Linked DNA regions of Caenorhabditis elegans. The protein of the gene in region 1 purifies or fractionates together with the protein of each later gene. This does not show direct contact. Each region holds a gene or a part of one and is shown on either strand. Other genes may lie near its edges. The genes, in order: aldo-1, gdh-1, aco-1 and pyp-1.

Evidence for each region.
Region 2: the proteins of aldo-1 (region 1) and gdh-1 fractionate together in Caenorhabditis elegans (co-fractionation; one large-scale study listed by BioGRID). This does not show direct contact.
Region 3: the proteins of aldo-1 (region 1) and aco-1 fractionate together in Caenorhabditis elegans (co-fractionation; one large-scale study listed by BioGRID). This does not show direct contact.
Region 4: the proteins of aldo-1 (region 1) and pyp-1 fractionate together in Caenorhabditis elegans (co-fractionation; one large-scale study listed by BioGRID). This does not show direct contact.

The regions. Positions count from the first base shown.
Region 1 is NC_003281.10:13,562,809-13,566,691, forward strand, and holds aldo-1 (Fructose-bisphosphate aldolase 1), read right to left. Parts: upstream 2,130-3,883; 5' UTR 2,112-2,129; coding exon 2,018-2,111; intron 1,918-2,017; coding exon 1,442-1,917; intron 1,203-1,441; coding exon 675-1,202; 3' UTR 538-674; downstream 1-537. Other genes in the region: T05D4.2 (F-box associated domain-containing protein), read right to left, coding at 128-228. UniProt on the Caenorhabditis elegans protein: May be involved in the metabolism of fructose-bisphosphate (beta-D-fructose 1,6-bisphosphate) and of fructose 1-phosphate.
Region 2 is NC_003282.8:11,951,235-11,956,048, forward strand, and holds gdh-1 (Glutamate dehydrogenase), read left to right. Parts: upstream 1-2,014; 5' UTR 2,015-2,017; coding exon 2,018-2,293; intron 2,294-2,340; coding exon 2,341-2,745; intron 2,746-2,790; coding exon 2,791-3,454; intron 3,455-3,714; coding exon 3,715-3,980; 3' UTR 3,981-4,307; downstream 4,308-4,814. Other genes in the region: tbx-36 (Putative T-box protein 36), read left to right, coding at 288-842.
Region 3 is NC_003284.9:11,338,269-11,343,871, reverse strand, and holds aco-1 (Cytoplasmic aconitate hydratase), read right to left. Parts: upstream 3,999-5,603; 5' UTR 3,997-3,998; coding exon 3,906-3,996; intron 3,727-3,905; coding exon 3,558-3,726; intron 3,508-3,557; coding exon 3,370-3,507; intron 3,323-3,369; coding exon 3,253-3,322; intron 3,081-3,252; coding exon 2,272-3,080; intron 2,224-2,271; coding exon 1,935-2,223; intron 1,888-1,934; coding exon 1,309-1,887; intron 1,229-1,308; coding exon 710-1,228; 3' UTR 545-709; downstream 1-544. UniProt on the Caenorhabditis elegans protein: Catalyzes the isomerization of citrate to isocitrate via cis-aconitate. Has probably no RNA-binding activity.
Region 4 is NC_003282.8:9,994,836-9,999,554, forward strand, and holds pyp-1 (Inorganic pyrophosphatase 1), read right to left. Parts: upstream 3,129-4,719; coding exon 2,922-3,128; intron 2,876-2,921; coding exon 2,724-2,875; intron 1,957-2,723; coding exon 1,826-1,956; intron 1,779-1,825; coding exon 1,288-1,778; intron 1,236-1,287; coding exon 1,069-1,235; intron 1,025-1,068; coding exon 889-1,024; 3' UTR 550-888; downstream 1-549. Other genes in the region: uba-1 (E1 ubiquitin-activating enzyme), read right to left, coding at 1-88; C47E12.3 (alpha-1,2-Mannosidase), read right to left, coding at 4,472-4,684. UniProt on the Caenorhabditis elegans protein: Catalyzes the hydrolysis of inorganic pyrophosphate (PPi) forming two phosphate ions. Plays a role in intestinal development and subsequent normal secretory, digestive and absorption functions. Required for larval development.

The DNA.
Region 1 (3,883 bases):
ACTTTTAAAAATCTCGGTTAGTCGATTTCTGAAGATCAAACAACTTGGAAAACAAAAACAATCCAACGACAGGGTGTAACACATTTACTATTGGAAATTTAGAAAATTTAGTTTTAAAAACACTTACATTTCAAAAGGGTTCTTGGCAGCCAAGGTATCCTTTTCAGTTGGCGGACCATAGTACTTGGTATAGAAGATCTCAGATCCTCTCACTTCGCGGTAGTACATTGCAATGGACAAATGAATGGCTGTAATGCGTTGCGAATAGTGTGCAACTGGTTAGATATCGATCTGAAAATGTGCATCGCACCTGCCCAAGGTTAAACGGCTCCACTGGGAAATTGTTCTCTCGCACTTACACTAGGCACCTTCTGTTCTCAACAATTGAGCAGACACATAAACCTACAAGGAATAGTGAGTAGTAGAAGACATCTTGACGTCATCACTATGAATGCATCGCGACGAGCCATCGCTCAATTGTCTGTCTGCTTGAATCAAATGTTCCAAAGATACATCTCTCTTTAATTGTGCATTCGTATCTACCAAAGATTTATTAAATCCGAAGAGACTTAGAGAAGCAAATAATGACAATTAAAGGGGTATACAGACACATAATTCTACGTGCGTTGAATAGTTTTAAAAAATGAGAAAAAAGAGATCCTGAGCGTGGCCATTTAATAAGAATGATTGGCGACGAAGAGGGATTGGGAAGCGGCTGCGTCAGCTGAAGCATCCCCGGTGTATTTTCCGACAGAGGCAAGGGAGTTGACCTGAGCACGATGGAGCAGGACTTCTTGGGCGGCTGCGATGTTCTCGTCCTTTCCGGCCCACTTGGCGAGACAGGAGGCTTGAAGAGCACGTCCATAGGAGAATGTGAGGGCCCATGGCTTCTTTCCGCTCACTTGATTGATGGCGTTCAAGTTCAATGTGGCATCCTCTTCGGATTGTCCACCGGAGAGGAAGACGACTCCTGGAACGGCGGATGGGACTCCGCGTTGGAGGGCGGTGACGGTGGCGAGTCCGATATCGGCATTCGATGGCTTCTCGCCGGTGAATGATTGTCCGGAGGTGACCATGTTTGGCTTGAGGAGGGTTCCCTCGAGGAAGACGTGATGCTCGTTGAGAGCGTGGTACACATATGAGAGCACGGTCTCGGTGATCTTCTGTCCGCGAGCCAAGCAGTGTTCACCGTCTGGGAGGATCTGAAATGATAACTAATTAGAGTGCCAATTATATTTTTTTTACAAAAAAAAAACTGCTGCGAGACCCAAGTAACGGACGTGGCATTAACTTGGGTTTTGCATCGAATATTAAAATTTTCTGTGAAAACCGTTCTAAGTATTACATTCAAGCCGATCTACGACTACATCCCCCCAAAAGGAACTTAGGTGGGTAGGTACCAGTGCTGTGCGACTCTCGGCTCTCGACTCTCGGTAATTACCTCTGGCTCAACAATTGGTACAAGTCCATTTTGTTGGCAAATTGAAGCATAGCGAGCCAAGTTGGAGGCAATTTCCTTAAGAGCAGTCACTGATGGAGTCGTAGATGAGATCTTGTGCACGCATCTCCACTTGGCGAACTGTGCTCCGTCTTTCTTGTATTGAGCGCAACGAGCATTCAAGTCATCCAATCCCTGAGTGGTTCCCTCTCCGATGGTTCCGGCCATTGGGACGACACCCTTGTCAACCTTGATTCCTGGAATGATTCCTTGCTCCTGGAGAAGAGCAGTGAATGGCTTTCCGTCGTCGGTCTTTTGGTAGAATGTCTCGTGGAACATGATGACTCCCGAGATGTACTTGTTGAGGTCGGCTCCGGCGGTAAACAGAAGTTGACGATACTTGCGGCGGTTCTCCTCGGTGTTCTCGAGTCCGATGCTGTTAAGACGCTTGTCCATGGATCCGGTGGACTCATCGGCGGCTGCAAATTCGAATTTCAGGGAGATTGGAGAGATTAGAGATTAGATTTGTAACACACAAAATGCCAAATTTTGTTTCCCAAATTTAATATCGTTACTTACCGAGAATTCCCTTTCCTGGGGTGACGATGGCGTTGGCGATGGAGCGGAGTTCGTCCTCCTGGGCCTTGGTCAAGAATTGCGAGTAAGAAGCCATTTTAGAAAATGAAGTTGCCTGAAAATGTGCAAGAGTGAAGTCGGTGAAAAACAAGGGCCGCTGATAAAAGTGAAAAGAGCCGGAGCTTTCTCTCTCGCGCCAAACGAATCGATGGCACCGCCGAGAAGGGAGACGGAGAGCCCCTGGCGAGAGAGCAAGAGTGTGTGAGAAGCCGTGCAGAGTGGCGAGAGGGAATTGAGGGGCCCTACGTGATTTGCACGAAATTTTGTGAGAAGTAAAAGAAGAAGAACTGCTGTTGGAGCAGAACGTGAGAAATAGTTTGAAGAAGCGAGAGGAGCAGGAATTGCCAAAGTCTTGAACTTTTCAACGTTGGAGGATTTGATTTGATTTGGTTCACGGAAGCGTGCGGAGATATGAAGATATGAAAGTTGAAATTGCTTTTCAGACATATGCCTCTGGCGTACTTAGAGCAGCCGGGCTATGAGCTCGAGCCTAGTTTAGGACTCATTGGAGTAGTCTGAAATTGAAATAATGTAAAAGAGATTACGAAATTTGGAATGATGCAATCGTTTTTCAGAGGAATCGACCCTACTTGGCACATTTTGTTTTTTTTTTTTAATTCGAAAATGAGCCAACTTGCCCCTACGATAAAAACACAATTTACCTAGTTTTCCAATATTATAGGGTTTAGACCACATAGTTATATTTAAAAAAAAACTAGAGTAAACTGCATTTTCGTTTGCCATATTCCGTAACTCGCTCTGTATTAATTATCAAAATAACTCAATTTTGTGTCATTTTACTCAATTTTTGGGGACAAAACCAATGGTTTTGGTCAAAGTTGTAATGTCAAAACTTTGGCATGTGCGGCAAATATCGAAATTTGCAGAGCTCGGAAAATTTAACAAATCTACTTTTTTGAAATTTGTCTTGCTCGGCAAATTCAGCAAAGTTACCGAGCTCAGCAAACGGCAAATTTGGCAAATTTGCCGTATACCCCTGCTCTGTTTATTCCCTGGGCATTCTCGTAAGACCTATAAGGCTACTATAAGTACGAGAACATGCGAGGCACGTACTAATAAAACAATTCAAAATCTACGACAAATCATGACAAAAAAAAACAAGAAGAGGATCTTATGTAAAACAAGCAATACATCTATGTATTCATTTTTGTAAATAAAATGAGCTTCTATGTCAAAACTATAACATGGGTACAACAAAAAAGACAGCGAATAGAAAACGACGTGATGTGAAAAAGATATTTTGAGAATGGCTATGTGCTTTTTTGCGTGAGATGGCAATATGGAGGAGGCATGATGCAATTGTGCGAATAGTGAGAGTTTAGAGAAAACGTAGAAGGGTTATGAAATTGTTTTTTTTTCTTCATGGACCCAGAATTTGAATGTGCACAAAGAAAACTTAACCATTGGAAATTTAGGTAGAATGCCTTGCAAAATCTATAAAAGCAACATCTTATCACGACTAACATATATATTCTTCTAATTTTCAGAGTTTGAATCAGAGGGGATCCGGAAATTTCAATTTCGGCAATTTGCCGGAAAAAATGGTTTTTGTCAAAATCTTTGAAAAAAAAATATTGGGAACTTAAAAAAAAAAGATGTTTGAAAAATGCGGGAAAACCGTAGCTCGGAATTGAGAAAAAGTTGTTACTGGCAAGTTTTAGAAGCTTTTGGAATGTAAAAAGTTTTAAAATTTTAACCAAGCGTATTCTCAATTAGCTGAAAATTTAAGCAATTCCAAAAAAAAAGCAACAAACTGTTTTGAAAAACTCGATTATCGAAAAGCTCTTC
Region 2 (4,814 bases), on another chromosome or scaffold:
TCGCTCCATGGTCAGGTGAATATGCTCCGCCCTCTAGCCATGGGTCTCGTTAGGTTTCTGGAGACAAAACCGTAAATTCAAACCTTTTCAATTCGTTCTGCAGACTTCACCAATTTACAGGTTTTCCGCCAAAATCAAAAACCTACCGAGACCCAACGTTTTGTGGCGGGGCGTTTTTGCACCTTGATTTCAAAAGGGGCATTTTTTGCGTCCCCAATAATCAGCATGTTTGAAAACCAAAACGATTAATTGCGCAATGGTCATTTAGACTTTTTTCAAATTTTCAGGTGTGTCTCTCCTCGAGAACAATGTATCAAATCCGAGTTGTGTTGTATGAGATGCAAAACGACGAACTGATATACCTGAAGGAAACGAAATTCGACGAAATGATATTCATCACTTGCACTGAATATCGTGGACAAGTCAATCGTGAATTGAAGAAGAGTATGAATCGTTTCTCAAGAAAAAGAAAGTATGAAATCAGTGGAACAAAGTGCCAGCGTTCGAAACGTCCAGCAAAACTTCCTGTCGAATCTCTAGATGAGAAGGAACTAAAAAATGCTGAAAAGGGAATCATGAGTTTGCTTGAATCATCACCTTCGTCACCATCGTACCTTTATCAATATCAATACAATTCTCCACAATCAATACCATCTTCTATTTATGACTCTCTCTACCCATCGTCTCCAGAAGAATATCAGATGGTTCATACTTTTCCACAAACAGACCAATTATCTCCTAGTTTTCAAACTTCGCCCACAGTCCATTATGATTTTTATAATCAGCAATATTATGACAATTCATTTCATGAAAACTATTTCCAGTCATACAATCGGTTATAACTTTCGATTTATGCTTATGTCTAGATTTATCCGGTTTCAAATTACTAACCTGTTTTTCTTTTTTATCACAACTAACAAGCTCACGTTTTATCATTCTTGAAATTTTTTCAATAAATAATGAAAATAAAATCAAAAGTGTAGAATTTGTTCTTAAAGGCGCATGAATTCATTCCAATGGGTCTCGTCGGGAGAAAAAGTTTATGGTAGCGCGTCTTGGTGCTCGGATTTTTTAATTATTTTTTTTCCATTTTAAAAATATTTTATGCTCTATGTTTGGTTATGGAAGCGACCACCGAAAAAGCCACATTCTTCAAAAATTTCTGTCAAATCTCTGGGGGAGAAATAAAATTTAAAAATCGGTTGTCTTATTCTGAAGATTATTTACGAAGAATCAAAGATGTCGATCAGTAAAACAAATCGAAAGAGAAACAAAAACAAAACTGGTATTCAAAATTCGTTGAATGAGATTTTTGACGCGAATTTAGCGAGACACTGTCTCGATTCTTTCTCAGATGACGTCGATTGACCCTGCTTCTTTTGTTTTGTTGCTATGCAGATCGTATGTCCTATGCAATAGCACCACACAATATGGGCGAAGATCAATGACACTCGTCCCACTCTTCTTTTTTCCTTCTTCAAATAGGCGGAGCATCTTTTCTCTATTTTTCCCCCGAATGTTGCCTCTATTTCTCTCTTTCTCTAAATATCTATTTGCCAGTCACCTCCTCCTCCTCCTCCATGAAACGCTATCTTTTGCTTGCAGTTTCATCGGTCTCGCCCACCGATGATGGTTGCGCGTTGTCCTGTAAACAGTTTTGTGTTGGGCTCCTCTAGTTTTGAATAGTTATGGCGCCCGCGTCCCCAGGACGAGCTTTTCGTGGCCTAGAAGCGTTTGCCTACTCGCGGGCGGTGCCACATTTTTTTTAGGAAAAAAGGTTTTGATGCCTCTGCCAATTTTTTTTGATTTAAATATTTTTAAACGAGCTATAACTTAAATAATTTCAAACTGCCGCTGAAAATTATTAAAGGCGCATGGATTTCGTGACGAGACCTCCTGGCATTTTCCTTACTTTTCGATTCCGCCCGGATCTTTTCCTCCTTTTTGCACTTTGGCTTCTTATGTAAAATCTCTTATTTGTTTAAATTTTAATTACAAAATATTTTATTTTCAGGTAATGTTGAGCACTCTTTCCAGAGGCGCCCGCTCGGTCGCTGTCCGAAGCTATTCGGCCGCTACTCTCGATGCCCACTCCCAGGTGCTCGACGAGCAGAAGCCAATGGAGGAGCAGGTCAACCCATCTTTCTACAAGATGGTCGACTTTTACTTCAACAAGGGAGCCGAGGTCATCGCTCCAAAACTCGCCGAGGAGCTCAAGTCCAACTCTTTGAGCCAAAAGGATAAGAAGAATCTCGTGTCCGGAATTCTTGGAGCTATCAAGCCAGTTAACAAGGTAAGAATTTTGAGTCTCATTAATTTATCATATTTTATTTTCTTCAGGTCCTTTACATCACCTTCCCAATCCGTCGTGACAATGGAGAGTTCGAGGTTATTGAGGCCTGGCGCGCACAGCATTCTGAGCACAGAACTCCAACCAAGGGAGGTATCCGTTATTCCCTCGATGTGTGCGAAGATGAGGTCAAAGCTTTGTCTGCTCTTATGACTTACAAGTGCGCTGTTGTCGATGTTCCATTCGGAGGAGCTAAGGGAGGAGTCAAGATTGATCCAAAGCAATACACTGATTATGAAATTGAGAAGATCACCCGCCGTATCGCTATCGAATTCGCAAAGAAGGGATTCCTCGGCCCCGGAGTTGATGTCCCAGCCCCAGATATGGGAACCGGAGAGCGTGAAATGGGATGGATCGCTGATACCTACGCCCAAACCATTGGACATTTGGACAGAGTGAGTATAAATTTTTTGTGAGCATGTGAATAATTTTGTTTGCAGGATGCTTCGGCTTGTATCACAGGAAAGCCAATTGTCAGTGGAGGAATTCACGGACGTGTTTCCGCCACCGGACGTGGAGTGTGGAAGGGACTCGAGGTGTTCACCAACGATGCTGATTACATGAAGATGGTCGGTCTTGACACCGGACTCGCTGGAAAGACTGCTATCATCCAAGGATTCGGAAACGTCGGACTTCACACCCACAGATACCTCCACCGTGCTGGATCAAAGGTCATCGGAATCCAGGAGTACGATTGCGCCGTCTACAACCCAGATGGTATTCATCCAAAGGAGCTCGAAGATTGGAAGGACGCCAATGGAACTATCAAGAACTTCCCAGGAGCCAAGAACTTCGACCCATTCACTGAGCTTATGTACGAGAAGTGCGATATCTTCGTTCCAGCTGCTTGCGAAAAGTCGATCCACAAGGAAAATGCTAGCCGCATTCAAGCTAAGATCATCGCCGAGGCTGCCAACGGACCAACTACCCCAGCTGCTGACAGAATTCTTCTTGCTCGTGGAGATTGCCTCATCATCCCAGACATGTACGTCAACTCTGGTGGAGTTACTGTTTCCTACTTCGAGTGGTTGAAGAATCTTAACCATGTTTCCTACGGACGTCTTACATTCAAATATGACGAGGAAGCCAACAAGATGCTTTTGGGTAAGTAAATTTTCGAAATTTGAATTCCTAGACTTGCGTAGAGTAACACAATGAAACGATTTGCAAGTTTTCATCTGTGATAAAATTTTGTTTAGAAACTAACAAGGGCTAGATACTCTTACGCTTGTCACACTTTTCCGTTTATTTTATGAGGAGGGAGAGGAGGCCACTCAACCGTTGTCGTGAAAATGAGTACGTATGCACTCTAGGAAACAAATTGTAAATCAATTCTTTCTGTTTAAAAATGTTTGAATTTTCAGCCTCGGTCCAAGAATCTCTCTCCAAGGCCGTCGGAAAGGATTGCCCAGTTGAACCAAATGCTGCTTTCGCTGCCAAGATCGCTGGAGCTTCCGAGAAAGACATCGTTCACTCTGGACTCGAGTACACAATGCAACGCTCCGGAGAAGCCATCATCCGCACCGCTCACAAGTACAACCTTGGACTTGATATCCGTACTGCTGCCTATGCCAACTCCATCGAGAAGGTCTACAACACCTACAGAACCGCTGGATTCACCTTCACATAAGTACCCACTTCTCACTCATCTCATGGCTCTTGTATCCTCTTTTATGACATCAAATGGCTCCAAGCCAGGTTTAAATAGCTTCGTGTAACCCTTTAGTGCCTTTTCCATAGTTTTCTGTTTCGAAACTATCTAGGTTAACTAAAGTCTAGCTCTGATCTTTTCTGCCTGGTTCGTTCTCACTTTAGTATAATTAAATATTTTATTGGTTCCCCACCCCTTTTCATCCCCACACATAATTTTTTCGTTGTTTGTTGGTTCGGGACGGTTTCGAGACGGAGACCATTCTTCAAAAAAAAATCTCAAAAATAATAAAAAGTTTATTTCCTTAAACACTTCTACATGGTCATTGCAATTTTCCAATGATCATTGGAAAAGAAATTTCAGGGAGCATTAAAAACTTTATCAGACTTGTGTCTTTCTATTTACTATAATTTAGAATTTTCGATAACATATCACTTTCACATTGTGTGCCACTATCAGCTTCAAATTTGGGAATCACCTCCACAATTGTTGCAAAATTTTCGAATTGTCTAAACGAAGTTGATGCTTGGCCGTTTCCATATCAGTTGATCTTTTCCGGCAAAACCTTCGTCGTCAAACTGATGCAATTCCTGGAGAGAATGAAAAGAAATGTTGAAAGATTAAATTGGGTGATCGTTTGAACGAAGCTAATCTGATTGGACAAAAAGAAGAAATGATAAAAGATGATAAAGACAGTTTGGAGGGAATCCCCCATTTCGGTTCGAAGTGTACGCAAATGTTTGAGGGAAATATTTAGAATTGGAGATTTTTTTGAATTTTTGCAGTTACAGAGAAATTTTGGAATGTGCATAT
Region 3 (5,603 bases), on another chromosome or scaffold:
AAGAACGTAAAGTTATGCAAAATTTACTTATTTTGAAATAAAAATATCTTTTGCGCTGGCAAGGGTCTCATATTACTTTAGTGATGTTAGCTATAGGGCAACTGAGATTTTATTGGGTGAGTGTGCACTTTTAAATGGGACTGAATAGTACGAATGAACTGCTGAAATGTTAGTCTATAAAAAGTCAGTTCAGTACAAATAAATACCGTAATCTCTCTGTTCATTTTGTTCAAACAACTAGAATGTTTGAGCTTTTACACCCAATTTTGTTGTTCTCAATGAAGATGTTTTCTTATTTATTTATACTCTTATGACTGAGAGAACAAAAAATACAATTAGTGATGACGACCTTTAAGAAAAAGTTGCAAAATGTTATATCCTAAACACTGTCAAACTGGAAGCACATTTCTTTCTCCTATAAATAGTAGAAATACGTTATTTGTTGAGTTTTAGTAAAATATTACGAATTTAAGTGGTTTTAGCAAAACAGAGACGCCAAAACTAAAATAAATTTGACCATCCACATGTTTTATAGCCCAATTATAAAAAGTATTGATTTATTTCGTTGCTCCAAATCACAAATTTATTGGACTTCAAACATGTTCATAAAATATCACAGAAAATAGAGAAGGATTGATGCATCGAAAAGTAAATAGTTATCTAAAAATAGAAAAAATTGACTTTCAAAAATTTAAGCTAAAATAACAGTTTATTGGATCAACTTTCTGATCATGTATTGGAGGATTCCTCCGTTGCGGTAATAGGTGAGTTCGACTTCAGTGTCAAATCTACAGATGACTTGGAAAACTGAACCATTGGATACATTCACATCAATGAGCTGTCCTGGCTTCAAATCGTCTGGAACTCCAATTGAGAATTGTTCTTTTCCAGTAAGTCCGAGACTATCAGCGTTTTGACCAGCTTGATATTGGAATGGAATAATGCCCATTCCAATCAGGTTGGAACGATGAATTCTTTCGAAGCTTTCAGCGATAACAGCCTTGACTCCTTGGAGGAATGGCCCCTTTGCAGCCCAATCGCGAGATGAGCCACATCCATATTCTTTTCCAGCAAGAATGATGGCTGGAATTCCGGCATCCTTGTACTTTTGAGCAGCGTCAAAGATGTCGAGCTCTTCTCCAGATGGCACATGGAGTGTAATAGGACCAACCTTCGACGCAAGCTTATTAACAAGACGAATGTTGGCGAATGTTCCACGAGCCATGATCTGAAATTTAAAAAAAAACGTGATGTGTTGTTAAATTCAAAGTTTTTAGAAAATCATATATTGAATGAATAAACTCTTACCTCATCGTTACCACGGCGAGCTCCATAAGTGTTGAAATCTCTTGGCGTTACTCCACGTCCAGCAAGGAATCTGGCGGCGGGAGAGGTCTTCGAGATTGATCCAGCTGGAGAAATATGATCAGTGGTTACCGAGTCACCGAGATTCAACAAAACGTGTGCGTTTACAATATCGGATTGTGATGGAAGCTCGCTAGTCATTCCATCAAAGAATGGAACCTTCTTGATGTAAGTAGAGGCATCGTCCCATGGGTAAAGCTTGACAGCCGGGCACTCCAATTGTTGCCACTCCGTGGATCCAAGCTCAATGTTAGCGTACACCTCGCGGAAGAATTGTGGCTTCACGAATTCCTCCTCAAACTTGGCAACTTCTTTTCTGGTTGGCCAAATGTCGGCTAGTCGGATTTCCTTTCCGTCAGGAGTAACAGCAAGAACTCCGTTAATGTCAACATTGACGTTTCCGATGATCGAGTAAAGAACAGCCAAAGGTGGAGATGCCAAATAGTTAGCACGAACATGTGGGTGAATTCTTCCTTCAAAGTTTCTATTTCCAGAGAGAACTCCGGCAACGACAAGGTTATTCTGAATAAACAATTATTTTGAAAAGAAAACAGTAGTTTCAACAATACCTCTTCGATGGCCTTTGTTACTGGCTCATCAAGTGGCCCAGAGTTTCCGATGCATGTCATGCAACCATATCCAGCAATATTAAATCCAATCTTCTCAAGGTATGGAAGAAGACCAGATGCTTCCAGGTATTTTGTGACGACTCCTGATCCTGGAGAGAGGGATGTTTTCACATATGGTTGGACATTCAATCCCAACTCAACAGCCTTCTTGGCAACCAATCCAGCTGCGAGCATGACACTTGGGTTACTGGTGTTTGTGCAGGATGTGATGGCAGCAATAACTACGGATCTGGAAGAAACATTATTTTTTGCATGTACTTCTAATTTATAGTCTTACCCGTGAGTAAGCTCTGCGGTTCTTCCGTGGTTGGTAATTGTGACAGATTTAGTGGCATCTTCTGGTTTAAGGCCAAAAGCTTTGAAGGAGATCTTATCAGTGAGCCCTTTGGAGAAATCTTGAGCCAGAGAAGCAAGCTCAACTCTGTCATGTGGACGCTTAGGTCCGGAGACACTTGGCACTACACTTCCAAGGTCCAATTTCAAAGTGGTAGTGTATGTTGGGCGGTAGGAGTCATCGGTGAAATTGACGAACATGCCAACAGACTTGAGGTATTGTTCCACGCGTTGAGTATAATCGGTATCACGTCCGGTTTGAGTGAGGTAGTCAATGGTACGGCTATCGACTGGGAAGAATCCAATTGTTGCTCCATATTCGGGGCACATGTTAGCAATTGTTGCACGATCGGCGATGGAGAGCGATGCAACTCCAGTTCCAAAGAACTCAACAAACTTTCCAACAACTCCGAGATCACGAAGGTTCTTTGTGATTGTAAGAACCAAGTCGGTACTGGTAACGGTATCACTGAGAGTTCCAACCAATTCGTATCCAATAACTTCTGGAATAACCATGGAAATTGGCTGTCCGAGCATCACAGCTTCAGCTTCAATTCCTCCAACACCCCATCCAAGAACACCACTTCCATCAATCATTGTGGTGTGGGAGTCGGTTCCAACGACGGAGTCAGGGTAGAGAACGCCATCCTTTCCAACAAACACTGTTCTGGCAAGATATTCAAGATTAACCTGATGGACGATTCCAGATCCTGGCGGTACAATAAGAAGATTGTCGAAAGCTTTGGATCCCCACTGAAAATAATTTGATAATACAATTTCATTTAAGCTATCTGAATATTTGTGTGTTCATTGAACAAAGTAGTGATAAGGGCAATCAAATGCATAGCGTGATTTTCCGAAAAGTGATGGGGAGAGTAAAACGTGACAGTGAAACTCTGAAAGTGGCATTTTCACCTTTCCTTACCTTCAAAAAGTTGAAGCGTTCTCTGTTTCGCTCAAACTCAATGGACTGATTCTTGGCAAGGGCTTCAAGGCTGAAAAAAATACAATAAATGTATAAACCAGGTTGCGCAGAACGTACTTTCCGTAGTGATCGACTTGCACGGAGTGATCGATGACAAGGTCAACTGGGCATACTGGGTTGATCTTGGCCGGGTCAGCACCCATATTTTGAACGGCGTCACGCATAGCGGCAAGATCTACGACGGCTGGAACTCCACTGAAAATTGCTTGATGTACATAAATTTGGTAATTTATTTTCAAGCTCACGTAAAATCTTGGAGAATAACGCGTGCTGGTTTGAAAGGAATCTCAGCTTGGTTACGCTGGCTGTTTTTCCAATCAAGAATGGTTTCCACGTCCTTCTTCAATACATGGAACTCATCGCAATGACGAACTGCGGCTTCCAACAAGTACTTGATGGAGATTGGAAGCTCGTCTGAAAATTTTGGGAAGGTTTTTAAAGAAAATGATTTATATATGACTTTAACATAATGAATTTATTCTTGCTCGTCGAAATTCGCTGTTTTTTTTTTCGTTTACAAAAGTTCCAAAATTGAATATATGCAGATATATTTTAGATAGATTGAGAATAGGATGTAAAATAGTTATACTTACTGTAACGAGCATCATTGAGACCATTCAAGTCAAAGTATTTGTAGACGTTATCTCCGATAGCCAAGTTGCGGATAAGGTTGTTGAAAGCCATATCTGGAAAGTTAGATATGGAAAAAATTTAAAAAAAAAAGGATTTCGATAGAAAAGAACGACAAAAGTGCATTGTAATGAAAAAGAGAATGCGAGGAAAACTAATGGAGGCGTGCCGAATCGGTGTAGTCGACCTGTCCGTTTTTGTGTGTGTCTGAGCGCGCTTAGTGTGTGTGGCTGTATTGAATGTGAGAGCGTTTTGTGTATGTTGTGTATGTGTGTGTGTGTGCCAAGGTCGGTCGAAGATAGTCATCTTTCATATCAGCTAGGACGAAATTGCGTCGTTGTCCAGTGTTTCTAGAAGGCTAATGTCGAGAAAAAAGGCGGCGAGAAAAAACGATACCATCTCAGAACTCAAGAAACAGTCAAAAAAGGTAAATGTGCACAGTGAAATAGTGTGCGGTGGGAAGAGAAGAAGAGGGCCGATCTGCATACACGTTGCGTACTTGACCCAAGAGGTTACGACAATGTTGCAGTGTGGTTTTTTTGAGAATTGAAACAATGCGCTCTCAGACATATTGAGAGATAAAAAGAAAATTCAGAGATTTGTGTCCGATATTTTTTATCTTTTGTTATCATTGATATCAGATCATTTAAAAAAGATTATCAAGTGGGAGAACTTTGCACAGATTGATGGTGAGGTGGAAATTCCTTTGGGAAACTGAAGAGCAAAAATTCGTTTTATTTTTCAAAAAAAAAAACATTTGAAAAAATGCAATCGAATCCATGCTATAACTAAACTAATACACTAGAATCTAGAATCACTAGAATCTGTAGTTCACAAAATTCATAGAGTACGGAATTTCTGTTAGCGTGACTAAAATTTACTAAGTTAAAAAAACAGAAGATGTTTGAGCACAAGCTGGTTGGTTTTTTGATTGATATTTTTGTTTCATATGTCTCTGTTCTTCATGATAATTTACTATATATAATATAAAGCGCTTATTCTGTGTGTCCATAGTTTGTAGTCTATGTAGTCTTTGTAGTCTGTGAAGTTTTGACTTCTGGAGGGATAGTGAGTTGGGGTTAGTGTAGGGATATAGTCGGGGTACTGTAGTGGTACAATAGTGGTACGGTAGGAATACTGTAGGGTTACGGTAGTTTCATAAAAATTGATTTTCAGCCCTAGAAGTCGGGGGCCGCGCCGAAGGTGCGGACCACGGCTGGTTCATAATATTACAATTACCGTTTTTCATAGTTTACCGCGTATCATTGTATAACCATGTTTTATTCAGAAAGACTTTGCATATATATTTTTATTTGATCCCAAGTTGAGATTCATAGAAACGTATTTTATTAAAATTGGTCTCACAATCATTCCCCGTATTACCTCTAGTAGCCTTTTAAGTTGTAAAAAGCAAGACAAGTGCTAACATGTGTAAACGTTTTGAACAAGTCTAGGTTTATTTTTTCAGGAATTGAAGAATTATCTGAAAATTCTACAAGGTACGCCTTGTCTTGTCCCGAATTATTGAAATACTGATTGAAGTTCTAATATTAGGATGACTCTTAGAAATGCAAGAAAATTACACACTGTATAACTAATAGGGAGTACACTTGGTAAATGAATAACACTGTTAAAAATTCTGAAAACTACCAAAAAAAAAA
Region 4 (4,719 bases), on another chromosome or scaffold:
ATTCGTTTTCTCCTTCACGCTGCAGCTTGTTATTGGTGGCCTTGTTGTTAGTTTTGTTGGCCGATGTTAGCTCAAGGATGGTAGTCATTAATCACGAAAGATCAGAACCACTGAAAATAGTTTTTAATTGATGAAAACTGATGCAGTTCGAATAATGGTGGCTTAAAAGAGAAGAATCTGATGATGAGCTTTCGGCGAGAATTGAGATTGAAAAGCGAATGATTTTTAACCACTGCACGTTTCGAAAAAATGCGAAACAAACTGTTTGTGGAAGATTCTAGAAGGATGAAATTATTGATTTTCATTTGAAAAAAGTGGCGCGCTTGCGAAATGAAGAAAAAGGAACATAAGTGGAAAATGGCGCCAAGTTTCTCATAGAAATATTAGCAGTAAAATAGAGCGCTTTTGCATTTTTCTTCTTTGACATAAAAACATCGCTATCGTCGTCTCGTAGTGTTTGTGTTCCTTTTTTGCGAAAGAAATTTCTCGATATTTCTAATGTATTTTTAAAAGTTCGTTCGTATATGTTTGAAATCAGCATTTTCAAAATTTAAATTGTTTCTTCTGTTTATCGAGTTCGTGCTGACTCTGCTCACTGCTTTTTCCAAAGGAACTTTGAATTTAAAAGATCTGTTTGGATTTGACAAATAATTCACGTATGGTGGTAAACCAAAAAGAAAACATCACATACATAAACAGAGAAGATCCCCAATTCAATTTTTAAAAGTTTTTCGAATAATGAAAAAAACAATATAAAATTAAAGGAATCAAATAATCAAATACGTTGGAACAAAACAAGAGAATGAGGGAGTCAGTATAATTTCAGGGAGCGACAGTGCAATAAATTTAAAGTTTTGAAGATGCTTCACGGCTTCCAGGGCGTACTAGTCATCCTTGCACAAAATGCCACTTATCAACATCTCCTGGTAGTGGAGCATTTGCTCCATGTTCTGGGGTAGCGCCAATGGCAGTTGCGGCCGCTTCATCAGTTCCTTGGTGAACAGCTTCTGGAACCCGAGAGACTCTGAAATTTGAAGTTTAGAATATTAAAAGCGATGAAATCCCTACGTGTTCAAGGATGGGTTTGCTTCCTTGATGAGAGTCTTCCAATATTCGTTGGTCTCATCGATGACTTTCTCCGCGTATTCTCGGTTCTTGAACTCTCCATTAAAAGCGAACTCGTTGGCTGGTTTTCCTGCTGGAATCTTGTAATTGCGGAACCATTCAACAGATGCCTGAAAGAAAAAAAATGAAACGTATTTTGAAAAATGTTTAATCGAAACTTACAGCCAATAGTCCAGGATAAACCTTTTCGACGTCATCAATGTCATTCAACTTGTCAGCATTCTCATCGTTGACATCAATTGCGACCAATTTCCAATCGGTCTCTCCTTCGTCAATGAGAGCCAATGTTCCGAGAACTTTTACTTGCAGAACAGCTCCCCGTCCGGCAACCTTTGATCCAACTTCAATAACATCAATTGGATCATTGTCTCCTTTAGCTCCAGTGTCAGGAACAACATGGTTTGGATCTTCCCATGTCTGTGGAAGAGCTCCGTAGTTCCAGATGTATCCTTTGTGTGGGAAAATGTTGTGAACAAAGCGAGCTACACCCTTCTTCTCATCTTGCTTGATTGGCGAGAATGGTTCCTTGGTGGCCATTTCCATTTTAGCATTTGTCCAACGTGGAATCTCAACAATCATGTTGTAAACTCTCTTGTCCTTGTTGGCGAACAATGGAATATCGTGCCAAGGAGATACGATTCCTTGTGGTCCCTCTGCAAAATAGATATTAGAACCAATAATTATAGCAGCTTCGACTCACTGATATAAACTCTATAATCCAAACTATAAAGAGATCCACGCTCGACGGCTTCGTAAACTGCTGAATCTCCGGCTCCGGTGCTCATTTTCACAGCTTGACTTTGCAAAATGACAGCAGTCTCCGACAAGGGCCTGAAAAATAATAATAATGCGAATATTGAAAACTACATGTGTTTGCGAGTGGAATTAGATGCTATCATGAAAACACTTCTACACTCATAACAGCCAATTATAAGTATAACAAACTTGTTTGGGTTTCGGAAACAACGACCGCAAAAGAGCCAAGAGAACATTTTTCACAAGGTTTTTGTTAAACTAATCTTTAAACATTTTGCCACTCGAAACTATTAAAACGTGGATTTGCAAAAGTTTTCACGTTAAAAGTTTAAAAAAAAAATACGCCAGAATTTAAAATGCGAATTCAAATAAAGACAATAAAGCAACTTGAAAATAAATTTCCAAACACAAAGTGTCATTTTATAAGCATGTGTACTGGCATCTTTGAAAAGTATGTTACATAATTATAGGCAACATTTCTTTATTCTTTGAGCATTTGGTGACGGACTAGTCTTATCAGCTGACACCGCCCGTTTGCAATGTGAGGTGACGGGGTAAAGTTTAGTACGCCTACACTTCATCTACAAGGGGCTGCTGGACAAACTGAAGTTTTGGAGAAGGGTTAAATATTTTTAAACTACGTTTTTTCTCAATATAAGATCTAGCAGCGATTCGAGCATGACCCAGATTTAGATTAAATAATTGTTTTCTTTTCTTTTCCGCTCTACCAATGGATGTGAGTTATTAGAAAGTGATAGAAAACATCAATAAGGATTATATAAAACGTTATCCTCCCTTAAAAACGACACAGACACAAGAAGGAAGAAACATCAACACGCAACCTCGTGTGCAGACTCCTCTCCGAATTGGCTGACATTTGTCGTTGAGCTCCCGAAGAAGAGGTGGAGACGGCTGTGGTAAGACTGCCACGAGGAGAAGGTAATTGGACAGTTGAGCTGCCGGAATCCATTGAAGTGGTGTGAATCGCAGAAACCTACACATAACCAAAATAAAACTAGAACAATACTCATCAGTCTTGCCTGTGTGACGTTTGTAACTGGACGCGATGTCCTTGAAGTGGCCCATTTCTGTGAAGTATTTGAACTGCTGGTGGATGTTGTTGCAGTGTTTGAAGATGACGAGACAGTGGCGATGGCGCTTTCTTGGCTCACGGCACAGCCCATAATAAGACGAGTTGATAACAAAAATCCTCTCGCCGTGGCCACACTTCGACAGCTCAGTATCATCTAGGAAGAGATGAGGACAACTACAGACATTTGTGAGATATATGCGGAAAACACGAGAGACGCTGTGGCGCATGCACATTTTCAAGCAGTTGGTGATATGTGTGGATTTGGTTATGTCGTCATGATAGAAGCAAGATTAAATTGAAAATTGAAACATAAGGCAGGATAATATCATTCAACGATTATCTAAACCCTGTGGCTCAAAACAATCAGCATAAAAAACTCTCACCTGGGCCCAAAAGAAATCCTAATTTCAGTCATGAAATTTTTGAACATCTCAATATAGATAACATCAACTCAATAGAGGTTTAAAATAAATTTGCACAAGCTAATTTTCTTGTCTAAAAGGCTCTTCGCATGTTTGGTGATAAATGGCTTCTTGTTCAATGGCACGGATAAAAGTTATGGAAGACATGCATTTTCAATTTCCTTATCGCAATAATATGTAGCTTGAAAAACGCAGAAAAAATAAAATTAATCGTTGATGTTCCTAATAAATAACTCCACTCAGTATTGATCAATGTATTTAATCACTCTTAGCAGATAATTTTACAAATACTGAATACATTTTTGAGAATTAATATGTATAAAAAATAACTAAAAATTTGATTAAGATAAAAACAAAACAAGAATAGCATTGCCAGCGCAGCAATTTGTAAAAAATAGGCCTACGAAAATATAGCAGTGTACACACACATCACACCACAAACTACATGAAAATGCAGACGCAACCCTCAGCTACGGTAACAGTGAAATATTTAAGTCTGAACGCATAAAAATAAAATAAAAATCCCAGACAGTTGAGAAAATATGCTAAATATTAATTTGCATTTGAAAACCACCAAATAGGAACAGTCGAATGCAACAAACCTCGTAGCCAAAAATACAGCGACTGTGAAAAGTATAGCAGCCATCATCGCGATCAGCGGCTTGTTTCGTTTGGCGATCAACACGAGGCCCATCAAGAAACGACCATCACTGAAAGATCAATCAAAGAACACTTCTGGGAGGAGAATCTAATATTGAAAACCGCTTGGACTTGTTTTTGCTCTGTGAGCAGTCTTCTCTTATCAATACCTCTCGGTTTCTCCATTCGCCATTGTATTACACTGATTACAAATCACAAACGATGTGTCATAATTGTTGGTAAAACTTAAACTCTTATTGATTTTAGTAGAATGTAAACATATGATTTCATTATTCTATCTTCTTTTGATTTATTTCTAGATCATTGAAATTCATATATTTTAATGCTAACCGGAAAAAAAATATTGCTATCACAGAACTAAAACCACATAAAATATAAGGCAACAAGAAATCAGATATGCAATAGTACAAATAAATTATAACCAATCGTGAAGAACCGAATCAACTCCAATAACTTTGAACAATTCACGCATTTGAGAATGACGAAGTGGTGGGGTTCCAAAAGTGAAGTCTGTGGCAGTTTCGCAAAATGATGAGTTGGTACGTGGCAATGGTTTGAGAGGTGGATCATATTGAGATGGCGGAGTAGGAGGCAGATTGAACAGCGGGGATATTGGAAATATGTGACCCTGAAATTACTTTTCTAATTGTAAGTAAGAATTCC